6 linked regions of the Oryzias latipes genome follow. The protein of the gene in region 2 purifies or fractionates together with the protein of the main gene of each other region. This does not show direct contact. Links are inferred from orthologs where the notes say so. Each region holds a gene or a part of one and is shown on either strand. Other genes may lie near its edges.

What was found.
Region 1: the proteins of anapc1 (region 2) and anapc4 purify together in Homo sapiens (co-purification; 13 studies listed by BioGRID and IntAct, with this or other methods). This does not show direct contact. The link is inferred for Oryzias latipes from reciprocal best matches to the Homo sapiens genes ANAPC1 and ANAPC4.
Region 3: the proteins of anapc1 (region 2) and cdc27 purify together in Homo sapiens (affinity purification with mass spectrometry; 16 studies listed by BioGRID and IntAct, with this or other methods). This does not show direct contact. The link is inferred for Oryzias latipes from reciprocal best matches to the Homo sapiens genes ANAPC1 and CDC27.
Region 4: the proteins of anapc1 (region 2) and anapc2 fractionate together in Homo sapiens (co-fractionation; 8 studies listed by BioGRID and IntAct, with this or other methods). This does not show direct contact. The link is inferred for Oryzias latipes from reciprocal best matches to the Homo sapiens genes ANAPC1 and ANAPC2.
Region 5: the proteins of anapc1 (region 2) and lats2 purify together in Homo sapiens (affinity purification with mass spectrometry; 3 studies listed by BioGRID and IntAct, with this or other methods). This does not show direct contact. The link is inferred for Oryzias latipes from reciprocal best matches to the Homo sapiens genes ANAPC1 and LATS2.
Region 6: the proteins of anapc1 (region 2) and anapc7 fractionate together in Homo sapiens (co-fractionation; 6 studies listed by BioGRID and IntAct, with this or other methods). This does not show direct contact. The link is inferred for Oryzias latipes from reciprocal best matches to the Homo sapiens genes ANAPC1 and ANAPC7.

What each region holds. Positions count from the first base shown.
Region 1 is NC_019862.2:1,185,730-1,190,003, reverse strand, and holds the start of anapc4 (anaphase-promoting complex subunit 4), read right to left. Parts: upstream 2,801-4,274; 5' UTR 2,739-2,800; coding exon 2,631-2,738; intron 2,553-2,630; coding exon 2,447-2,552; intron 2,375-2,446; coding exon 2,242-2,374; intron 2,162-2,241; coding exon 2,087-2,161; intron 2,009-2,086; coding exon 1,982-2,008; intron 1,911-1,981; coding exon 1,866-1,910; intron 1,780-1,865; coding exon 1,695-1,779; intron 1,554-1,694; coding exon 1,446-1,553; intron 1,369-1,445; coding exon 1,198-1,368; intron 563-1,197; coding exon 498-562; intron 384-497; coding exon 341-383; intron 264-340; coding exon 187-263; intron 112-186; coding exon 11-111; intron 1-10. UniProt on the Homo sapiens protein: Component of the anaphase promoting complex/cyclosome (APC/C), a cell cycle-regulated E3 ubiquitin ligase that controls progression through mitosis and the G1 phase of the cell cycle.
Region 2 is NC_019873.2:15,519,425-15,522,924, forward strand, and holds part of anapc1 (anaphase-promoting complex subunit 1), read right to left. Parts: intron 2,951-3,500; coding exon 2,868-2,950; intron 1,858-2,867; coding exon 1,779-1,857; intron 1,654-1,778; coding exon 1,579-1,653; intron 560-1,578; coding exon 507-559; intron 431-506; coding exon 277-430; intron 155-276; coding exon 1-154. UniProt on the Homo sapiens protein: Component of the anaphase promoting complex/cyclosome (APC/C), a cell cycle-regulated E3 ubiquitin ligase that controls progression through mitosis and the G1 phase of the cell cycle.
Region 3 is NC_019866.2:74,817-78,785, reverse strand, and holds the start of cdc27 (cell division cycle protein 27 homolog), read right to left. Parts: upstream 2,801-3,969; 5' UTR 2,015-2,800; coding exon of another isoform or gene 1,988-2,014; intron 1-1,987. Other genes in the region: somatotropin, read right to left, coding at 3,320-3,382, 3,451-3,597, 3,671-3,814. UniProt on the Homo sapiens protein: Component of the anaphase promoting complex/cyclosome (APC/C), a cell cycle-regulated E3 ubiquitin ligase that controls progression through mitosis and the G1 phase of the cell cycle.
Region 4 is NC_019866.2:2,382,402-2,386,471, reverse strand, and holds the start of anapc2 (anaphase-promoting complex subunit 2), read left to right. Parts: upstream 1-1,270; 5' UTR 1,271-1,479; coding exon 1,480-1,578; intron 1,579-1,977; coding exon 1,978-2,227; intron 2,228-2,289; coding exon 2,290-2,611; intron 2,612-2,683; coding exon 2,684-2,816; intron 2,817-2,876; coding exon 2,877-3,057; intron 3,058-3,132; coding exon 3,133-3,252; intron 3,253-3,604; coding exon 3,605-3,722; intron 3,723-3,829; coding exon 3,830-4,008; intron 4,009-4,070. UniProt on the Homo sapiens protein: Together with the RING-H2 protein ANAPC11, constitutes the catalytic component of the anaphase promoting complex/cyclosome (APC/C), a cell cycle-regulated E3 ubiquitin ligase that controls progression through mitosis and the G1 phase of the cell cycle.
Region 5 is NC_019879.2:11,533,461-11,536,960, forward strand, and holds part of lats2 (serine/threonine-protein kinase LATS2), read right to left. Parts: intron 2,081-3,500; 5' UTR 1,741-2,080; coding exon 1,408-1,740; intron 1-1,407. UniProt on the Homo sapiens protein: Negative regulator of YAP1 in the Hippo signaling pathway that plays a pivotal role in organ size control and tumor suppression by restricting proliferation and promoting apoptosis.
Region 6 is NC_019867.2:25,467,751-25,471,869, reverse strand, and holds the start of anapc7 (anaphase-promoting complex subunit 7), read left to right. Parts: upstream 1-1,319; 5' UTR 1,320-1,441; coding exon 1,442-1,542; intron 1,543-3,231; coding exon 3,232-3,418; intron 3,419-4,119. Other genes in the region: ubiquitin-conjugating enzyme E2 G1, read right to left, coding at 580-622. UniProt on the Homo sapiens protein: Component of the anaphase promoting complex/cyclosome (APC/C), a cell cycle-regulated E3 ubiquitin ligase that controls progression through mitosis and the G1 phase of the cell cycle.

The sequences.
Region 1 (4,274 bases), on a different chromosome or scaffold from region 2:
GAACTCGTACCTTCTATAGCAGCAGAATCTAAGCCCAGGGGCTCAAACTTCTGCCTCCACAGAGACATCCCTCTCACCTCACTGAGATGGTACAGCAGAGCCTCGGAGCCACTGCAGGAGGCAGAAGAGAGGAGCATGAGGAGCATGAGGAGGAGCACTGACCTGAGGACAGAAGGGGGAGCGAACCTCTGCAGGTGACTGATCACCAGCTTCTGGATGCTGGAGTAAGAAGACTCGATAGACTGGCCAAGCTTCTTCAGACCCTAAAGGGTGAAGGAACGGAAAGATTTCAGTCTCAAGTCCTCAGAAGGAGGTGGAGTCTGAACTCACCTCTCCTCACCTTTACAGTCAGCTGGTTCATGAGGAGAGCCTGAAGTTCAGGACTGGAAAGGATGAAAAAACAGTTAAAACAATTCCTTACTCACTGCTACCATCCACAGGACGGTCCAGGCAATACAGTTCAACCATGAAGACAACAAAGGAGGTTTGCTTTCCACCTGGACTGTCCCCACAGCAGGAGCTCCAGAAACTCATCCTGAACCTGAGTGCTCGTGTTCTTTTCCTGGGAACACAGAAGACATGACCCTGAGTATGGTGGCCCTGAGGTCCCAATCACATTAACACAAACGCATGTTAAGACCAGAATGACAGTTAACAAAGCAAAACTAAAAAACATCATCTTTTGGAAATCAAAACAAAATTCAGGAGACTGAAATGTAAACAAAAAGATTCAGAAAAAAGGAGTTTCCATAAGTTAATGTTAAAATTAAAAAAGAACTAGAGAAACCAGAAGAGGCAGGTCCTTTGAGGCATTGCTGATTGGATGATGACATTTGAGTTGTGAAGAAGAGGAAACGCAGAAGAAGGTTTCACCTGAACTGTGGCAAACAGCTGATTAAACAATCAGCAAACGTGTGCAGTGGGCGTGGCCAGAAGCTTAAAGAAATCTCCTCTGATGGAAGAGATCGCCATGACAAAGAACTTCCCGCCAAAAAGGTGAACAAACATCATCATCCAATCAGAGACGTCCCCTGATACCCACCTTATTATTATTTGGTCTGCTTTTTTCATTTACCATGATTTTCTGGTGAGAGATTTGTTGATGTGATTTGCACATCAGGGCCACCGTACTAAGCCAATATGCGCTCAAATGTTTGATTCTTCCTCCAGAGAAAGGCATTTCTTTACCAAACAAACCTGAACAAACTTGGTGAGCCGAAGGTCCATCTGCATGAGGATGTCCTCCCACGCCTCACACATACACGTCAGAGAGAGATGCAGGTACTGCAGCAGCGTGGAGATGAAGGTGAACTTCAGCGCCATCCGGGTGACCTCAGGCAGGCAGTCAGACAGCAGGCCTGTGTCCAGCTGACGGGCAAGGAGGACGCATTAGGAACACAAACAGAGCATAGATACTCAGAGAGAACCAGAGTGGATCACCTCACCTGGATGTAGCAGATCTCTGGGTTATTGTCAGCAGACCTGACCTCTGCGATGACAGACAGAGACCTGAGATCACTGGATAGACACAGATTGCGGCACGTTCCAGTCACCTGCACAGCAGGATAAATCCAAGAAAAACAGTTCAATCTCCAGGCATTTCAGGATTACTACCAATTAAATCTGTAATACAAGTAAAACCCCTCTTTGGTCACTTTTAATTGTTTGTTACAATGTCAAGAAAGCTTTCTTACCCCATCCACAGCTGCTATCTTATACATCCCATAAGCATAAAGCTCCACAAAGCCAGAATCTCCTCCAAGAACAAGAACATTCAGTCTGCAAGGAAAAAAAAAAAAAATCACTCTTACAGTCGTGGAACCATTTTCATTCAATCCTCAAAAACTGTCACCTTGTTTTTTTACCTGGCATCTCCCAAGAGATTGAGTATTTCATCTGACTTCTCTTCACTGTGACAGAGGGAAGAACACTCAGGAAAAATTCAAACGCTTCCAAACATTCATCATGAATGGTGTCTCACCTGAAGATCTTTGAAGTTGTGCTGTAGCTGTGGAGGAAAAACAATGACTGCATGGAGATTGCCAGTAGATGAGATTTGAAGCAATGCACGTCTTCATGGCTTTACCTTTTTGGAAGGGTTGGGATTTTTGGGAGAAAAAGTTTGGATTCATCCTCTGAGCTGTAGAAAGAGCTGAGGGAGCTGGAAGGTAGAGAACGATAACTTAATATGATTCCTGTCTGTTTGGTTAAAGCATGGATATCCCTTGAGCCTCTCTTCACCTGCTCTCATCCACGACCTCCATCCAGTGCATGCAGGTGACGGCGCTCTGCACTGGGAACACGTGAAGGATTTCTGCCTTCTCAACCCCACAAAGGACGATCTGCTTTGTGTCTCCGAGACTGAAGGCCAGTGCTGGAGATCAAATGGATGAGCAGAGTATAAAATCCTCACATTCAAGTTGAAATATGTCGAGTCCACCCTTACTTTTGCCATCTGGTCTCCAGGCAAGCGCCGTGATCTCTTTCCCGGTGCGTTCAGTAGGTGGTAAACTCCAAACCCGCTGGAAACTTGCTAAGCGATGCAGCAGCAGCTATGAAAATCAAAACATTCAACTTTGGATAAAAAACCAGCATAAAGAGTAAGAGGGTTTTCAGGAGCTGAAGCTCACCTCTCCAGCCGTGTTGGCCAAAGCGATCAGATCCCTCTTTGGAGACCAGGCCATACACAGAACAGGGTTTGGAAGCTGCTTCTCCCCTACCTGCCGGAAGGCTGGCATGATGCAGCCCGCAGGTGGAGCGGCCCACAGGTGGAGCGGCCCACAGGTGAAAGGAACGCAGGTGGAGCGGCCCGCAGGTGGAGCGGCCCGCAGGTGGAGCGGCCCGCAGGTGGAGCGGCCCACAGGTGAAGTGGATGTAGGTGGAGCGGCCCGCAGGTGGAGCGGCGCCGACAATGACTGGACGATGCTCTTCTGGGACAGTTCCACCTTTTAAAAATCTCAATGGTTGGTATTCTGAATCTGTCCAGCTGACATGACCTGCAGAACATGACTCCATTATTCATTCAGCCTGTTCTTGTTCTTCATTTCCTGTATATTTGATCAGATGGAACATACAGCAGGTGGCTTTTCAGATGAAACACGACACCTCTTAGATTTACATACCTCTGTCATATTAAAAAGCAAATAGCCCAAACCAACAAAACAAGTCAGGAAAATAATAACAATTAATGCAAACAATATAATCAATCCACTAACTGTGTTTTTTTTTTGTATCATTCATTTTTATTTCAAAAATGTTACGTCCATTTTTTAACCGTTTCTACTATAAATCAAACGAAAGAAAGAAAAGATTTTTCAGCCAACATCAATACAGGAAATCATAACCCTTTAATCTAAAACCAAATAATAAAAATAAAGCTTTTAAGTCGATTCTTCGCTGAGAAACTCACTTGTTCAGATGAGATGTGACGCTTCCAGCTGTTAGCCGTTCAGCGGATAAACACGACTCTGTTTGTTTCAGTCCTTTACCGTCTTAGAATGACAACACAGAAATAATCCACATTAAAGATACTCTTTTGACGGTTGATCCAGAGTCTGGCGGTAGATTTTCCTGAAGTCGTTTATGCAGCTACTGAGACGCCGCCATACTTTTCTCTCGACCAATCACTACGCAGCAACGGCAGCCGAGAGGAGACAAAGTTCTTAGAAGACAAAACCGCTCCTTGAAAACTAGCAACAGTTTAATCGATGGAGCCCGATGGTCAGGGTTATGTCATGGAATTCCTTAGCAAATATTAGCCTATTTCAGTTTACTACAAGTATACTTAGTAGTGATGGATGAGGATGAGTGTATTGACATATTACCCAGACTGTGTCGACTCTGTATTGACGGTGTTGTTTCCTCTAGTGACCGCTGACATAATAATCAAATCATTGCGGTAAATAAGTAAGTAAAATAAGATTTAGATGAAAAAAGCAGTTAAAGCCCCACTTAAACAAAATATGTATTTTATATTAATTTTATTTTATGGAATTATAGCATGTTTTGTAGCACATTTCTCCTGAAAAAAATCTCATGTTTCTCATGATAGAGGACATAGAAAAATAACATTAAAACTGCATTTTTGAGTATTTCTTTATTCAACATATGGTGAATTAGGAGCAGACAAAAACTGCCATTTTAAAATTTTGTAGTTATTATAGAGACTACAGACAGCAAGTGACCAGCTCCCAGCTCTGCTCCATTCTGATGCAGACCAACAGATCCATGAACGTCTGTGTTTTCCTGCTCTGAGCTGGAATCTGGATCAGAAC
Region 2 (3,500 bases):
CCATGTGGAAGCCATAGTTCATCTCACCACCGGTGCGCTTGTGGAGGAAGCGACACAGCTGCAGGACCTTCAGGTCTCCAGTTCCAGCCATTATCATGGACATGGCCAGAAGAATCATTGATAGGCCCGTTTGCAGGTTGTAATAGCTGGTCTGCTGGAAGAGTCGGAACAATGTTTGGACAGACAGGGAAAACAACGACAAGATACATTTTTTATATAGCATCTGTCATGAAATTTGAGAGGTCAAACTAGGAAGATCCAGAGGAAATCACTCACAGCGCCAACAGGAGCTGTCCCAGCAAAGGCCATGATCTTCATGAAGGTCTTGGCAAACTCATGAAGGCAATCAAATGCATCAGAATTCGCAGAACCAGCAAAGCGTAAACCTAACGCCATGCAGGCTCCAGCAGTGATGTAGTCTTGAGCTTGGCTGATGTAAACAAAATGTTACGTTTAGTGAAGTAGAAGGCAAATTACCGAATAAAAAATGTTAGAAAAACACTCACGTCATTGCATCCATATTAATGTCCTCTGAAGGGTCAACATTTTCCCTGATTATCTACAACCAAAAGAGAAAAACAGGTGACAAGTTTCAGCAGTTGTTCCACTGCTGAATGATGTTTTTGATCAGTCAGAATATAAATAAAAACATATGCAACAGTACAGTTGATGGAGTGAACATTTATTCATCTAATATTGAAACAAATACTTTTAGAGTTTTATAACCAACAGGTTTTACATCCAACTGAAAAACCTCTGTACTTTTTCCAATAAGGAAAATTCGTGTCAAGTTAGTGATCTTCCTTCCTGAGGGTGAGATCCATTACCCAAAAAAATAAGTATAAGATTCGATTCACTGCCTACCTTCACTTCTATAGACTATGGGAGATTAAAAATTGTCTTTTGTGAACTTATTTATCTTAAACTATTAAGGAGTTCTTCAGGGGGTTTATCCCAAAGGAAGAGTTAAAATTTAATAAAACCATAGTGGACATTGATACTAGAGATCAGGGTTTTTTGGCCCTGATTTGATTCTAATTCATCTGATTTTAAGAATTTGGTGATACCAATTACCAATCGGATCCTTTTGTAACACGTTTAAAAGAAATGAATAGATTTAATAAACAGACCCAGGTTTTTCTCTGTTTTATTCACCTTCTTTTATGATTTAAAAGTTAAACAGAGAAATTGTGCGTAGTAGCTTGAACAATCAAGCAAAGATAGTGCAACTATCAACTAGAAAAACAGTTAACTATTAACTAGTTGAAATAGTTTATAGTCATGTAAAAACGTTTAGTGACTGTAGCTTTAGTATCTTCTATTAAAAATGAGTGATGAATTTCTTTAAATTCCTTGTTGTAGCATAAATATGAGCTAGTCATGAAAACTCATCATATCAATGTCACCATTTATTAGCTTTTATTGTTTGAGAAGTTACAGATTTTTCTTCTTTTTTTTTTCAAATCACTGTTTTTTGGAGCTAGCACTCTGTAGTCGGTCCCACATGATCAGATTGCAACATCCCTAACAGGGAAAACGGATGATTACATCACTACTTCTGGGTGTGTATTATCTCACCTGGGGTATGTTACTCTTGACCCATTCAGTATTAGGAAGGATTTCATCCCACATGATTATACATCGAGCAAGTGTCTAAGGAAAGACATAAAAAAAAAGATACACCTGATTCAGAGAAGGGAAAAAAGAAACGAGCAGCACCTCACTGTCACATAGAAAACCTCATATCCACACAAACAAACAGCCGATGGCACACCAACCCTCAGCAGCAGAAACTCTGGCTTAATGAAGTCCAGCAGGAACCAAGTGTCTGGAGGTTTCAGCCAATCAGCAATCGACCTGTGGTATAGAACCAGAACCAGAGGATGTGTTAATATCTTCCTTTAACACCTTCTATGCCAAAAAACCAGAAAGCATTAGATGAATCTTGGAGGAATCAGGAAGTTCTTGACTAGTAGACAATCGTGAAGTGGAGGAGTCTGTGGAGTGTTTTTGTGGTGGAGGTTACGATGCTCTGATGTCCACAGACATGGAGATAAACAGAACAAAGCTCAGATTCATGATACTTAGAAAAAGCTATGGATTGGATTGATTTAATACACTGTAAATAATTATAATATAACTTCATTTGTAAATGCAAATAATTTGTTTCAGAAAATAAATGTTAGTACAAGAAATCTTATAACTATAGATTTAATGATTTGTAGGTATGGTGTCAATTGATAAATGTATGGACTGCAAACGTGTATGGTTTGCATTTTCTACTACATACATTACCATAGGAGTCCTACGCCTATTTGATAACAAAAACGTATGTATTGCACAAAATATGAAAGAACATTTGTCTATTTTTGGCAAAGACTTAAGTTAGTACCACCACTTTTAGAGTTGTGCCTCAGTTATTATGCTTATAAAAGCACATTTATAAGTTTATAAACTATTTTATAATTTAAAATTAATTTAATAAAGGATGGAAACATTATATTTTGTTCTTCTTTAACTAATGCTTGATGAAATCTTACACTTGTACTCTAAGATCTGCCGTAAAACAGCAGGGCCACCCTGGAGATGTTCAGGAAGTTCTTGTTTGTGAAATAAGATGCTGGTTTCCACATCAAGGGAGGGGAGGAAGTTTGCATAAGCAATAAACAGATGTGATGGTTTAACGAGTTGATGCACTGGTAACCAGGGATGAATGCTCTGGATGTTTTGGTTTTGGATTTGCAAAGGAATGTGTGCAAAAAGATCATTAACAGTACAATTACCAGGTCACACAGGTCTATTAACTTTACCAAAATATTTTTTTAAAGGCGATAAATGTTGTATGAGATTTGATTGTCTCTTCTCACCTGTTATTGGTCTTGAGGTAGATCATGGCGAGGGCCAGCGTCGCCCCAGGACATGTCACATCCACATTTATGGTGTCACCTTCCTATATCAAACGTCTCCGTTTAAATCTCAGTTTATTTTGGCGTATTTTATTTTACTTTATTTCAGCACACAGCACCGGTTCCTAACACAGGTCATGGCAAAGCAACATGTACAGGCTGCAAACAAGTTCAATAAAAGTCTGGATTCTCAGGTTTATTCCTTTTCCTCTTAGATCCCACTTATCTTTTCATGAAAGCAGTTTTTGCCTTTAGAAATCTTGACTGAAACAATAAAAAGAAATTCAAACAAAAAAGAATCAGCCATGCCACGCAGTCTCATATTAATCCAACTGGAATATAAATCAGTTTGATCAAAAAAACGAATCAACAAAATTCATGTAAAAACTAAAACCGATTACATTTAGGTTAAAGAACTAATTTTGTTAGACAGGGACAGAGAAGGTTTGGAGTAATAAATACTCTTCATAATTTGCGTGTGTGTTTACGGTCTGGCTCTTCTGTTAGGTTTGTAGGTTAATAAGCATCATAATTTATAACGTTTCATTAAGACTGTATTTACTCTGTAATTAAATCAGATTTGCTTATAACAGC
Region 3 (3,969 bases), on a different chromosome or scaffold from region 2:
AATCTGAGTGCAGCTAAGAAAAAAACAGTCGGCACAGGTTGCTGTCGTTCTGCTTTGGCACAGGTTGCTGTCATTCTGCTTTGGCACAGGTTACTGTCGTTCTGCTTTGGCACAGGATACGGTCGTTCTGCTTTGGCACAGGTTACTGTCGTTCTGCTTTGGCACAGGTTACTGTCGTTCTGCTTTGGCACAGGTTGCTGTCATTCTGCTTTGGCACAGGTTACTGTCGTTCTGCTTTGGCACAGGATACGGTCGTTCTGCTTTGGCACAGGTTGCTGTCGTTCTGCTTTGGCACAGGATACGGTCGTTCTGCTTTGGCACAGGATGCTGTCGTTCTGCTTTGGCACAGGTTACTGTCGTTCTGCTTTGGCACAGGTTACTGTCGTTCTGCTTTGGCACAGGTTACTGTCGTTCTGCTTTGGCACAGGTTGCTGTCGTTCTGCTTTGGCACAGGATACGGTCGTTCTGCTTTGGCACAGGATGCTGTCATTCTGCTTTGGCACAGGTTACTGTCGTTCTGCTTTGGCACAGGATACGGTCGTTCTGCTTTGGCACAGGATACGGTCGTTCTGCTTTGGCACAGGATGCTGTCGTTCTGCTTTGGCACAGGTTACTGTCGTTCTGCTTTGGCACAGGTTACTGTCGTTCTGCTTTGGCACAGGTTACTGTCGTTCTGCTTTGGCACAGGTTGCTGTCGTTCTGCTTTGGCACAGGATACGGTCGTTCTGCTTTGGCACAGGATGCTGTCATTCTGCTTTGGCACAGGTTACTGTCGTTCTGCTTTGGCACAGGATACGGTCGTTCTGCTTTGGCACAGGTTGCTGTCGTTCTGCTTTGGCACAGGATACGGTCGTTCTGCTTTGGCACAGGATACGGTCGTTCTGCTTTGGCACAGGATGCTGTCGTTCTGCTTTGGCACAGGTTACTGTCGTTCTGCTTTGGCACAGGTTACGGTCGTTCTGCTTTGGCACAGGTTACGGTCGTTCTGCTTTGCCACAGGTTACGGTCGTTCTGCTTTGGCACAGGTTACGGTCGTTCTGCTTTGGCACAGGTTACGGTCGTTCTGCTTTGGCACAGGTTACTGTGGTTCTGCTTTGGCACAAGTTGCTGATGTTCTGCTTTGGCACAGGTTGCGTCATCATTTTTAAATATTAGATATTTATTGAATATTAGATCAGAACTTTGATCTACGTTTAAAGGCAAATACTTTTTTAAAGCTCTAACATTACCATACCCTCCTGCCTGATCAGGGACCGGCACACCTGAGCTGTGACGTCAGTCGGCGCTGGTTACATGCAGTATTTCCGTTTACCAACAGCTAGCTAAAAAGCTAGTTTAGAGCTAGCTGGTTAGCCGACGCTAACCATGCCCCGCTAAGCGTGATATGTTGCGGGTGCCGTGAGGCAGAACTGTTGCGGGAACCCCACAGCGAACCTGGAGAACGGTTCGGTTCAGTCTGAAGCTACAGAACCTTATTCCTGCCGTCGAAAGCGGGTTGTTAAGGCGCTAGCCGGTTAGCTAGCAGATCTAACGTTCCAGACAAGTGTTCCAAAATCCTGAGGACCACCTCTAGTCTATCCAAACCTGAACTAAACTTGACCCAGTGACGGTCTCACAGCGGGGACAAATCTTTGTCTTCTCCGCTCGATTCTTTGCTGCGGAAGCTACCAGGAGAGAAAACGTTCCAGCCCGTTTACGTGTCAACGACAGCCGGGGGACCGGCGTCCTGACCAAGTTACGCGCCATGGAGCGGATAAACCGGCCCTCTACGAAGCTTGGCCCGCAGACCGAAAAGAAGCACACCGCTCAGCCCCGAGCAGATGCCGGGAAGGCGCGGAGAAAAGGCTCCGGGCGAACTTCGAGGCCTACGACGGCGGAAGAATGCTGTTTTAGCTCGGGCTGAGCCTGAGCGAGCCAGATGCTGAGGCCGGTGACGGCTAATGTTCGTATTCCGGTTCGTGACAACGACCTAACGGCGTTTTCTTACCTGGACAGGTTCCTGCAGCACTGTCATCCCGCTTTAGGACTCTGTATCTCTGCTCCAGGGACCTCTCTCCTGCTTTCTTCACGGCTTTCTTCAGCTCTATCTCTGCGAGGAGCCGATGCGGCCGAACATTTGAACGTCCGACCGTTACCTTCCGAGTTTTGCCGGAAAACGCCGAGCCATAGGCCTAGAACACACTGCCCTCTAGCGGCAACAGCAATAGCAGGTAGAATAGCTGTTTGACGCCTACTGCTGGCAAGTCTTGGTATCACTTTTTTAAGTCAGTAGCGGAAAATGTCATCAGCTGTTATGGAGCAAAATCTGCACCGTGTTTGTTTGTTTGAAGGAAAGATTTTTCATTCGACAAAACAAAAGTTAAAACACGTTAATGTTAAATACTAAAATATGTCACGAAATAACATTCAATTTTTTTATCTTTTACAAAAATATTCTTTTACACTTTTTTAATAATCACCTTAAAGTTTGCATAACTTTTTTAAATGTATAAATTTGGTGTTGTTTTTTTTTAATTCTTTAATTCAAAACTAAAATTTACTGTTTCAAATATTCCTTTTTTGAGTTTTGGATTAGCTGCATTATTTTTTCTGTGAAACTTAACTTTTCACTTTCAGATCAAATTGTTTAGTGTAGGTCCAAGCGGAAAATGTTAATGAAAGAGAAATATTGCTTTCATATCTTGTAAAGCATGCTTTCAGCAAGCAGCTGTTTGTAAATGAACCTCAATCTCCTGTACACTGAAAAGTTCTATAGGCAGAAGATGGACACCCTGGTGGAACATTTTTTGTAATTTTTTTCTTAATTCTTTTTTTCTATTAGCAAATATACATTTTTTTACAAAACCTTTTTCGTTCATAAAGAACTGAAGCCCATGGGTTTTGTTGGTTGAAAGGGTAAAAATGACATTGACGGGTCTCAGAGAGATAAGTGAAGACTTGTGACAGATAGTAAAAAGTTTTCTGTCCCGCTCCTAAACAGCTTCTTTGCTGCAAATCAGAGCATTTATGAAGCACATGAATGTTAAAATAAAAGCCAAACTTAAATGCTGCAGCTTCATTGCAGCTGAAAGCTGGTGAAGCTGCTCCTACGATGAGGTCCCCTTTGCCCACCCTGTCATGTAGAATAAGACAGGTGGGAGTATGGAGAACACGAGAAACTCAGATTTTTATTCCATGGTTTCTTTAAGCTTCCTGTTGTTTTCAGAAAAAGAGACACTGAGAATGCAACACAAACTTTATTATGACACCTCCTATTCCTGCTAATGCTAACATAATTATTTAAAAGCGGAGTCTATTGTCATGGTGGGGGGCAGCATGACTACAGGATACAGTTTGTCTCTGGAGACAGTCGACATTTAGCCACAGTCAGGTAGGTCTCCACCTGCAAAAACAGACATTTCTTTGTCATCATTGTCATTATCATATCACACTTGCTATCCTCCTTCTCACCTTATGCATATCCTTCTTGAAACAAGCTAGCAGTTCGTAGGTCCGCCGCAGTGAGCCATCGGCTCCAAGTCCATGATAATAGTCTATGTACTCCCCCAGTGGAAGAGACAGGGTGTCTTCATATATCTCAGCCACATTCTGATTGGCCTACAGTTCAAGTAGTAGCACAATTGACGTCAAAGCCAAAAGTCATGTGTGGCAGGTTTGTGCATGTACTCACCCTGATCAGAAGAAGAATTCCTGTCTTGAGTTCAGCCAGTTTGGGTGAGATTTGGTTCCTTGGAGCAGAACTCCCAGACAAAGAGCGACTGGGTAACTCCCAGGATTCCACCAGAACATAGCAAATTGACAGCAGCTTCTGAACCTGGAACCAAACACTGGTATCAATGAGGAGTAGCTGTGTTCTTCTCATCAGTTTTAACTGTTACTTCTTTACTGGGATGTTCTGTCCGAAATGGGTACTTTGCCATGCTTCTGCATCGCCTCTTTTTATTTATTCAGTTAAACAAGAACAGTCAA
Region 4 (4,070 bases), on a different chromosome or scaffold from region 2:
TCACAGTGAGAAAAATGGTAAAAAACAATTTGATATACAACGATTATGTTGTTTGTGTGACATCACATTAATGCTGATATTTTAAAACAAGTGAGACTTAGATTTTTATGCTCCGGGGGTTAACTACAGCCTCCTCTTTCAGGTTAAGTTAAAATAGAAGTATAGATTTTTTTCAACATTTACATTTAAAATATGAAATCCTAATGTCATATTGGAAATAGCTCAGTACAACGTTTAAGGAAGTAAATGCTGTTTGTCGGCAGATAATTTTTGTTTTTTCTTTAAACGAACAAAACAGTTTTGATGTTGGTGCAACAGCAAGGATATGTTAATTAAAGCAAACACAGTTAATAATAAGACAGATTATGTTTAACCACTAATCCGTCTGTCTATAGGGAAAACTTAGATAAGATGTTTGCAAACTTAATTAGAATTTTTTTTTAAACAGGGTAATTGGTTCCTGCTAAACCAAATTACCGGTAAAAAAATTACAGTTTATTTAGAAATTAATTGTTTATTTTAACATTTAAACTTATATTTTATTCAGTAAAGAAAATGCAGAGACATTTTCAAAAACGTGAAAATAAATAGTTTCCGTGAAAATACATAGTGGATGTAACTTGTCTTGCAGTTCACCAGTTTGTCCACAAGAGGGCGATAAGGATTTTGACTGTGATCACATTTTGTGTGTTTTTCCATTATAAATCATTGTTCTGTTGTATCTGTTTGCCCACTGAGGCAGATATCATGTCATAACCCATCCTCACACGTAAAAACATTTTTGATCGGGTAAAATTTGATTTTTTTAAGTTTTTCAACAAGATAATCATTTTTTCTGAGTTATTAATTTAATTGTATTTATTTCGTAAATACTTTAGTAAATGTTACAATTTTGATAAGATAAGATAAATATGCTTTTTTATTACAACCTGAGACATTTAATTTTGAATAAATTAATTTGATCGATGTTGATTATTTTACATAAAGATTAACTTAATTTGGTAAATAATTTTTCTCCAGCTCTTAGTTGCTGTTACAAACATTACGTGTTGCAGTTTTCCACTCTGTCCACACGAGGGCAGTAGTTGTTCACAAAAATGCAAAATGCAAAACAGACTTCTTTTAAATACTTTTGACTACTTTTTTTTACAACTTTTAAATTTTTTGCACGTACATCATGCAAACAACTAAAACAACGAAGAAAAAACAGAACGATGCGCATTAACAACTGTAGGTGGCAGCACTGCCATCTTTCAGCGCTAAATACAGTAGAAGAAGTCAAAGAAGATCTGAACCCGCCATTCAGTAGGAGGGGTCACGTGGTTTTGTTTTGTTAATAAATAGTATCTTTTTCTTTGTATATTACTGTGTTTTTGGAGAAATAATGTGTATTTGTACCTTCAACTAAACCTCTTAAAACCGGCACGCGCCTGTTTGGACTTCCGCCCGGTTTGTTAATTGAGGAGAAAAACCCATAAAATGGAGGAAATGATGGAAGACTCGGAGTCTGTGGAAATGTCTGGACCCGAACCGGTCCAGGGTGTCGCGGCTGCATGGGATTCGGTCTCTGCGGCTCTGGTGAGTGGACCCGAACCCCGAACCTCAGTGTCGGAGTCCAACCATGAGTGAGACGTCAGTTTATCGAGGTTATTCACGTCTCCAAATCTGGTGGTAGTTCACTTTGATGAATCTCACACATTTAAAACAATCTGTGGATCATTATCAGACTCATTAGACTGCATCTATATGCGTGATATTTTCATTTGTATATCAGTCACAGATGAAGCTTTGAAGGCGTTTTTAAATCTGCTCCTCCTTTCAAACACACCTGAGTTTAGAAAAAACTGGTTCAAAGTTCTTCATTGCTGTGTTTGAACTAAAAGTAAAAGCCAATCCGAGCCCAGGATCTGCTCTGGCATCAGCACGTACAGCAGCTTCTGGACGGATGCTGAGGCTCTGCGTTGGGTTCTCTTGCAGGTGTCTCCTGGCTTCTCGGTGTCGGATCAGAACCTCGTGGACGGCCTGGCTCTGCTCTGCCGTCGGGGTCTGGCTCCTCTTCTCGGGGTGTGGCTGCTGGAGACCTTGCAGATGCGTTTGTCGTCCTCCGTGGTTCCAGAGTTCTGGTGTGGACTGAAGCAGCCGGAGAACGAGCTGGAGGAGAGGGGCCGGGCCTGGGTTCTCCTCACCGCCTTCAGGACTCTGCTGGACCGCCTGGAACCCTTCCTGAGTAAGACCCAGACACCGGGGGGTCCACTGCTGTCGGACATTTCTGACACGTCTGCTCCTTAGGTGGTTTGGAGAAGCTGGGGGCGTGGCAGCAGGAGGGCCGCTGTGGTCTGAGCGGGCCGGGACCCAAAGGGCTCAAGGAGCAGGCCTTCACGACCATCAGAGCGCTCCTGCTCTTCTCGCCATCTCCTGTCCTGCAGGAGCGTGTGCTGGAGTTCTACAGCCGGACCTTCTCTGTTTACATGAAGCAGGAGGGGAACGCCGAGGATGGGGCAGAGGCTCCGGATGGTTCTGAGGGAGGGGCCTGTCCGGGCTGTGGGGTCCCGCTTCACCAGTGCTGGTGTCTGGAGGCCCTGGAGCAGCTGCAGCAGCTCAGCCACATCCTGTGAGAACCAGAGCGAAGCTCCTTGCAGCTCCTGTGGTCTGTCAGAGTCTGACCTGCTGTTTGTGGCTGCAGGTCCAAACTGCAGCTGCTGGACTGGGTCAGCTCAGAGGCCGTCACCTCCATCCTCCACAAGCTCATCGAGCAGCGGATGGAGCAGCACTGCCGCGGCGAGTACGAGCGCTCCTTCCTGCTGAACTTCCAGGAGGTGAGGCATCCGTTGTAGCAGCTCCCTGGTCGGCTCCGTCTGAACCTTTCCGCCTTGCAGTGGTTGGAGCTGGTGCTCGGCTGGCTGGGGAAAGTCTTTGCCTGTGAGGGGTCGGGAGACGGTCCGGCACCAGCATCTTTGGCCAGTCCGGTCATGAAGCAGTGGAGGTGCCACATGCACCAGTTCTTCTGCAGGATCTACGTCAACATGAGGATCGAGGAGCTCTTCAGCATCATCAGAGGTGACTCTCACCAACCCGACGGAGTTTTTTTTTTGTTTGTTTTTGTCTAACATCTTTGCTCCATATCTCGTGCAGATTTCCCAGAATCCAAAGCTGCGATTGAGGATCTCAAGTTTTGCCTGGAGAGAACTAACCAGCGACAGCAGCTCCTCACTTCCCTGAAATCTGCCTTCGAAAGCCGTTTGCTGCACCCGGGTAAGTAACCGAGTGGTTTGGTAACCGAGTGGTTTGGTAACCGAGTGGTTTGGTAACCGAGCAGCAGGTCTGTATGTAGCTAAGCAGGGAGTAGATGTCAGCGGCGGGCCGGTACCACAGAAGCCGGTCGTTATCAGCAGGTCGTCGGTACCCAAGATGCCGGTTTCTACCTGAGCGGCGGCTTAGCAGCAGTGAGGGGAAATAAAACCTGTAGCTCAGTGGGTGTAAAGTTCTGTCACGACTCTCCAGAACCTGTGGAGGACCGACTGTCCTGTTGGATCCTCCAAAGGTTTCCTGATTCTGTTGAATGCTTTTCTCTTAAAAATAATCCTCATCCTCAACTTGTGTGCAGGAGTTCACACCTCTGACATCCTCACCGTTTACATCTCAGCCATCAAAGCCCTCAGAGAGCTGGACCCGTCCATGGTCATCCTGCAGGTTGCCTGTCAGCCAATCAGAAAGTACCTCAGGTGAGTTTGCGTGTCTGCGGTCTGACAGGCGGTTTCAGGAAACCCGCTTCAGTTAGAAATGTGTTCATTGAACCGTCTAAACCGCAGCGCTGCCTCTTGCTGTTCAGGACTCGGGAGGACACGGTGCGGCAGATCGTGGCGGGTCTGACCGGAGATGCGGAGGGCTGCACCGACCTGGCCTCCGAGCTGTCCCGCGGAGACCCGGTGACGCTGGAGATGCAGGACAGCGACGACGAAGGCACCGACCCGGAGGACTGGACCCCGGACCCGACGGACGCCGTGCCCGGTCGGTGATGGCGTGGTGCGACGGTAGTCGCTCCGCTGCGGCCCTTCGGCTCACCTCTGACC
Region 5 (3,500 bases), on a different chromosome or scaffold from region 2:
GCTTCGTCACGGGGTTTTCAACCACACACACCAGGTCCTGACTGGACAAACTGCATTTTGTGAACACAGTCCATGATTGAATCAGTTGCTTTAATCGCCCCCTCAAGCGAGCCCCACTGCCTTCTCTTCAAAGCACATTTCAACAGCTTCCAATAAGAAGATAATGGGAAGAAAACACACAGAAGGCTATTCAGCAGGAACTTTTAAAAATGTGACCCAAAAATCAGAGCAAGTAGATTTTTCCAACTAAAGACGCATCGGAGGGAATCAAATCTAAACGTTTGCACATGGAATTGATTTAATTCTCCAAGCTGAAGGTGAAGCAACATCCAAATAACGTTTAGTTTTACGTGAAAGCGACCCATGGAAACATTCACCACTCTGCAAGGGGGATAACAGGAAAAAATGCCAAGCAAGCCAGTTGAGAAATCCACCTGATATTTCAAGATTTCAACACCACTCAGTTATGCAACCAGCTCACCATTCACTGGGGGGGGAGCGACACACACACTTGTACTGAATTGCATTGAAGAGCTCAAAAAAACACAAAAAATTGTTTTGGGTGTTTTTAATAACATGTTCTTGTAGCCTTTTTTGATGATAAAAGACGTATATAGCAAAAAATTAAGATTAAGACTACATTTCTGACTATTTCTTTATTCAAATCCTGCCATTTGAAAAAAACTGTTTCTGATGGATCCATTTACAGACAAATAGATCCATGTACGTCTTTGTTTTGCTCGGCTGAGCTGGAATCTGGATCAAAACTGTACGACTGGCTCTAACATTGTTCACCATTTTTGTTCCACCGCTAGTGTTAGTTTGGGCTTGTGAGGGCTGTAAGCTAGCAGGAGAGAGTGTGATCAAATGGATAATTGGAGAGAGTTACTTCCATGCCATCAGCCATCAGTTCCCGCCCACAACTCCGAAGTGAAATTCTAATAAATTCCTGCCGCTCTGCAGAAACTATGTCCTAGTAAACGACAGGTTTATGATTTCGGCTAAAAACAGCATAATCATAATTAAAAGACCACTGGGAACGCTCTGAAAATAGAGCTTAAGATGATCAGACTGGGACTTAAAACCAGCATTAACCTGTAAAAATGAGCAAAAGGTGTGTGGTATAAACCACACAGCTGTGTCTCACCTACCTAACCCTTAAGTGTTGTTCAGTTGTTTGAAAGGACATGTTGCCTGCAGCATACCAGCAGGAAAAACTGTGCACAAACATTCGCTGTTTGGGTTAACCCCATACAGGTGTGTCCATTTTTCCCCTGCAGACAGCCCTTATCTACCTGTAAGGGCAGTTGTGACTAAGGCATAACCTTAAAGAAGAAGCTGAAACTACTTGAATGAGTCCATACATCAGCCCTTAAATGGTCAAGGATCAAATCTACTCATCTTCACCTCATCACATCCTGCGTTGACCAGCTCGTGCAGCATCTGTCGGTTCACCTCTCCGGCCTCTCCAGACTCGTTGGCGAAGGGCATGAGGGACTTGCGGATTTCTCTGAGTGCATTCTGGTAGTTGTTGAACTTCTGAGGCGGCCGGAGCTGCTGCTGTCGACTGGTTGTGTCCTTCCCGCTTTTCGAGTCGGAGCCTCTCTCAGAGCGGGAGCTTCCTCCATGCAGAGCTTGGCTCACCAGCTTGGCCGGCTGCTTCAGGCCTTCCTTAATCTCCTGGAGCCTCTGTCGCGTGTTGCCCACATACGGGGCTGCTGGGAAAGTCTTGGGTCTCATGGTCTGAGAGCCTGTGCCAGGGCACTAACTCTCAGAAGGAAAGCCCACACAGTCAGTCAGAAACTAGAGCAAGCTCCCCTGCACCCTCCCGAAAACGTCTCAAGCTATCTGACCTAAATAGATAAAGAGCCTCTGGGAGCAGTTCCTGTGGCCCTCAGTCGTTTGTGTCACACTGGGTGTCTCTGATTCCTGCTGTTGCTGGTGGGGTGGACGAAAGGGACGCACAATACTACAAGCATTCCATGGTGTGACTTCAAGGCTCGGGTTCCAACTTATTCCAGGAAGTGGAGCTGCTCATGAGGGCACTATGGAGCCAAACCATGACGGTGCCCATCTGCGCCTGTAAGGGAAAACACAGAGTTAGAATATGAAGATTTCAGCTATGCACTCTCCATCAAAGTCTCCATCTTGAATGTGAGAATGGGGAAGAACATAAAAAGGGATCCAACCTTCTTCTGTAACATAAGGTGAAGGACCTGGAACTCCAAATATGTTCCCAGTGGTCACAAAATGTCAAAACTGTAACCTAGGAGACTATTATTACCTGCAGGCCTGGGAGTCAAATTCCATACCAGCAGTGCATAAGCTCTGGGGCATACCTTCTGCATAATTCAGGAATACCAGTGGTCATAACCCCCCCCCCATGCATAGCTGCAGTTGCACCACTGAGCCACCCGCTCTCACTGCATAGTACTTCATCGCAGTCATCCATGAACACGCCTCCAAGAGGAAGGGGTCACATCAAGCGATGAAGCCCCTCTGACTGAGATGCTCCCGGACATATAACCCTTGTCTTATCTGGGAGGGGACATGCTCCACATTCTGCCACTGCGGCGTTATTCCTGCATTGCAGACAGGATGACGTGTGGCATACATGTTCCTAAATGAGGCGTCACGTGAGGAGCGAGGTGAGGCCTTCATTTAGATTAATGCTGACAGTTGGAAAAATAAAAGCGCAGCTGCTGTGACTCAGATTAGTTGCAGCGATATTGTCTTTTGTGCTTTCAATTTTTCCACATTTTCAGTTTTTCTGCTTTCAGAAAAATGACAAAAACTCAGTGTTTCCACAGCCATTTCCCCTGAAAGTCCCTAAAGAAGTCCTCATGTGATGACTGAGTTTCCGTTTTTCAACTGGTTCAGAAAAGCAAACCTGAATTAAACTCAGAGCCTTTTTCGTTTCAAACGCTAAAAGGCATTTGGTGGCATGAAAACGTCCACAGCAGCTCAAAACTTTCTGACAAAGTGGACAAACTCTCTATCTGAATGTATAAAAATCTCCATTCTATCTGATGCACAAAATAACTGGAAAAGTGGAGTAACTTTATGTGCATTTCCATATGAGAAACAACGAGGGGAAGGGGGCGGGGTTGTTCTGCCAAAGGTCTCAACCACAACTCACAGGTAAATTTCTAATAAACTACTGCTTCTCTGCATAAACTATGTCCTAAAAAAACAACAACAAAGGTTTTGATTTGTTTTTTAGGTTAAAAAACGGCATAATGATAACTAGAAGAACACTGGGAACGCGTTACAATAGATCAAAAGATGATTGGAGTTGGACTTTAATGAAGAAGAATAAATATTTCAAATTTCAACAATGCAACATCACAACACACCTTGACCTCTTTTTCTTTACAGCAACATAGTTTAAGGAAAAAAAAGCTATGTTTTATTTTTGTTTTTTAAAGAGATTAACGAAAGACTTAGGTCAATATTTTCCTAAAATAAACCCTAAAAACCCTCTAACTCATTGCACAGAT
Region 6 (4,119 bases), on a different chromosome or scaffold from region 2:
ACTCTTAAAATTAGTCAATATAAAAGCAGCGCATTTATTTTCCTGTGTGGGCTTCGTTCGATACTTAAAAAATGCCAACGGGTACCGCTATCATCCTACCAGAGAAAGTGATTAGATATTATCTTACATAACTAAATAATGAGTTTCACATTTTCAATTACGTTTACTAAGAAAATATATGTTTGTGTGTTGCCCAACGTATTACGGTATTCATGTGTATCATTGGTAAAGCTAAACTCAAAAGGGCTGTGAGCCCCTGAATTCATTATTCCTTTGTTCTGCCCGCTAAATAACGCCGAAGTTGCTAGCTTGCTAGGACGGTCGGCGTTGCTGGTCTGCGTGGGTTTTAGTTTATCTTTTATTCCAACGTGACGTTGAAATCATAATTTTGCCACACAAATGGGCATCTAACTCAAGTAGATTGCTCACGTCCTGATAATTTCGGTCATTAAAGCGCCTGTTAACCAGAATCTTACAGCGTAAACATAGCTTCACAAAAGCTAGCATTAGCCTATTGCTGCTACATAACTAGCTGTTTTCTCCCTGTAATTTTAATATCAAAGAATGCGATCACATTACCTGCCAATTGTTTTCGAAGAAGTAATGCTGATTGTTCGGTCATGGTACGCGTACGTAACTAAGAAAAAAACTGTCTGTATAGACAAATATCTTCTGGCACACAGAGAGGAGGTCCTGCGATGCTGCTGCTGCTGCCGCCGCTTGGCTCCGTGTTTTGACACAAGATTCAGGTGCTAGCTTAAGTGCGCATGCGTGCTTCAAGCTGACCACGCGTTCGTGTTGTTAAAATATCTTTCTGCCAATGAATTAGACTTACAAAAGGACTGCATTAAAAATACACAGAATACCTCGTTGTTTGAAATGTTTTCAATTTAGAAATTTTATGTTGGGGCTTTTTGGATATTTGAATTCCGTATGTTTGTTGACATCTACATGTTTGAAGAACTCGTTCGGCACACGAACATAATAATACATGGTTGAAAAAAATAAACAATTATAAAGTAAGCCTTTAATTTTCAATTATTCACGCGAAAGTCGATTTTTGAGCTAAATACAAACATACAGTGAAAAGCAGAAGATGCGTTCATAACCATCGGAAATATCAAATTCACATTGAAGACTGTTACAAAGAACAAAAACAAAGTAACAAATGTTTAAATTTACGTTCATCATGATGAATGTGTAAACTAAAACGATTTAAATAAAAATACTAAGATTGTATGAGGGTGAATTGATTGCGCTCTTAACCTGTCATTCGTGAATCGTCTGCTAAAACTAATTTGTACAGACCTACAAATGCAGCAGTGCACGGAAGGAAGGCTGCTGAGCGCCATATTTAATACATCAGAGGCTAGATATTTTTTAGCTAAAAGTTCTAACTTCACACCGAAACCTGTAGAAGAGCCTGCATTTTTTCGGTAAAATGAATGTTATTGATCACGTTCGGGACATGGCTTCGGCCGGCCTTCACTCCAATGTTCGCATTGTGAGCAGTTTGCTGCTGACGATGAGCAATAACAATCCGTAAGTATGGCTTGACTGGGACCCGTCTATTTCCCGAATGAGTCTCTACGCAAGTGTTTTGTGGTTTTCCTCCGTTGTCGCGACAGTTTTATATATATGAAAAAAACATATTGTCGTAGTCTTTACGCTATTGTTTGAATGCGCAGCCTACACAGCTTCTTTCTACATGCTTAGCTTGTGTTATGAGATGCATACAGTTAGCCTTCACTCCATTACATAGCCATGTGGAGACTTTGGCAATAACAGTTTGGTGAAGTGTCATTGAGGGATGTTTGAACTCAAATCCCCCCACTTTGTTCACATGTATTGATGTTTTCTTTATTTACATTAATCAAATGTTTTCATTTTCCGGAGTTGATTAGATGTTACTATTTGTTCTTTCGCCACATTTATATTCAAGAAGATGTACCAGGGGGGTATTCCAGAAAGCAGGTTATGCTAGTTACCACGGCAAGTTTAAGGCTAATGAAGCGGATTATCTCAGTTTTCGGTACCAACAGTGGAGGTCTGTTTCACAGTATGTCAAGTTGCCATAGCAACTCATGCTCTGAACATAACCCGGTCTGGAACAGGTTTAGTTGAAGGTTAGTTTGTTTTCAGAGAGGTGAAGGCAGCATGGTGTGTCCATTTGAAGATGATTTAGTGGATGAAAAAGCTCAGATAATACTTTTTCCACCATAGAGGGTGATAAGACCACATATGGATGTTGGAAAGATAACATTTGTTACATTGATCTAACTTAATTATTTGCTTTAGTTGAGATAAATCTTTTTTGTTTTTTGTTAAGTCAGTTACGTGTCATGTTGCAAATCTGTTTTGATTCATGCATTTTATTGTTGTAAAAATGAGCATATCTGCAGGCTCAAACTTAAACACATGAGAGTTCAAGAAGTACAATAAATTAAGATGAAAAAACATTTAATTGAATTGGAGTGATATGACATTTAGTTAGATAAATATGTAAATTTGAGTTAAAAAAAATATTGAGTTGGATAGACGTAAAAAATATATTTAACTCAATTTCTTGTTACCAATTGAATTAATTCATTTAAGTTGGATAAGTTTTATAAATATATATATATATATATATATATATATATATATATATATATATATATATATATATATATATATATATATATACACATCACAATGGAAATGAGATAGAAACTCTTGTGTTTACTTTGTCCGTTCTTTTTCTCCAAGCAGAAACTCTCTTTTGCTGATGCAGCCGTGTTACTTTTTTAATCTTCATACGCCGTCATTCAAATCTCCGACTCCGTCTCACTGACGTATAGCGCTCTCTTTTTTTCACCACGCGTTTCCATGGTGACTCCGTAGATCGGCAATCCATTGAAAATGTCTTTATGTACTTGCTGTGCACGTGCATTAACCCAGGGTTACCAAGTGGAGCGTAATTACGCTAACTCATATCCGGTTTTTTGGAACCGACATACCCAGAGTAAGCAAGTTCAGGCGGATTTCAGCCAGAGTTCAGGCTTAAAGTCAGGGTAGTTTAAACATGCTTCTGGAATACCCCCCAGAACTCCCCGTAATCAAAATGTAATTTTTTATACAGCTGCTGTTTTCGTAACGTTGCACACTTTAAATGCGAAGCTAGTGCCATAAAATAGAGGTATTGTGCTTTGTAGTTATTTTTAAATGAAACTTGTTCGTTTTTGTCTCCAGTGAACTATTCTCACCGGCTCAGAAGTACCAACTGCTGGTTTACCACGCCGATGCGATTTTTCACGATAAGGAATATCGCAATGCGGCCTGCAAGTACAGCATGGCGCTGCAGCAGAAGAAGGTGCTCAGCAAAACATCCAAGGTTCGCACATCAGCTGGTGGAGCAGCCTCCAACATGCAGACACAGGTGAGGGCTTTATGCTTCAACACATTTAGGAAAAAAAAATATGGATGGATGGATGGATAGATGGATAGATGGATAGATGGATAGATAGATAGATAGATAGATAGATAGATAGATAGATAGATCTCAGAAGTTAATGGTTGCATCCCTACAATATATGCAAGAAAATAATAACACTGAAGACCATGAAAGTGTCTGCTGGCCTGCTGCTTTTGATCTATGACCAATACTGATCCTAGAGTGGGGAAACTACCTTTTAATCACTTGCATAGACACATTTTTGGCAGCAGACGTCTTTATCTCAAGTGACTCTTGAAGGGCACCTCTTGGTTTGTTTTTCCTCATCTTCAGGTAATATTCAAAACAGTTTTTACATTTTTTTGTGGCATTTTCTTCTTGATGGAGGACATATGTAAAGAAAAATTAACCTTAAAAAAGCATTTCTGAGTACTTCTTTATTCAAATCTTGGTGAATCAGGAGCAGATTTAAAGAATGCCGTTTGAAAAAGATTGTATTTGTTACGGCCACAAGCTCCGTGCTCCGCTCCAATCTGATACATCCACTTGCAGACAAATAGATCCGTGTACTTCTTTGTTTTCCCCCTCCAAGCTGGCATCTGAATCAAAACTATTAAGATGGTTGGATAGTTCCAATATTGCTAGCTATTTTTGTTGCACTAATATGTTTAGGTTGGGGCTGAAAG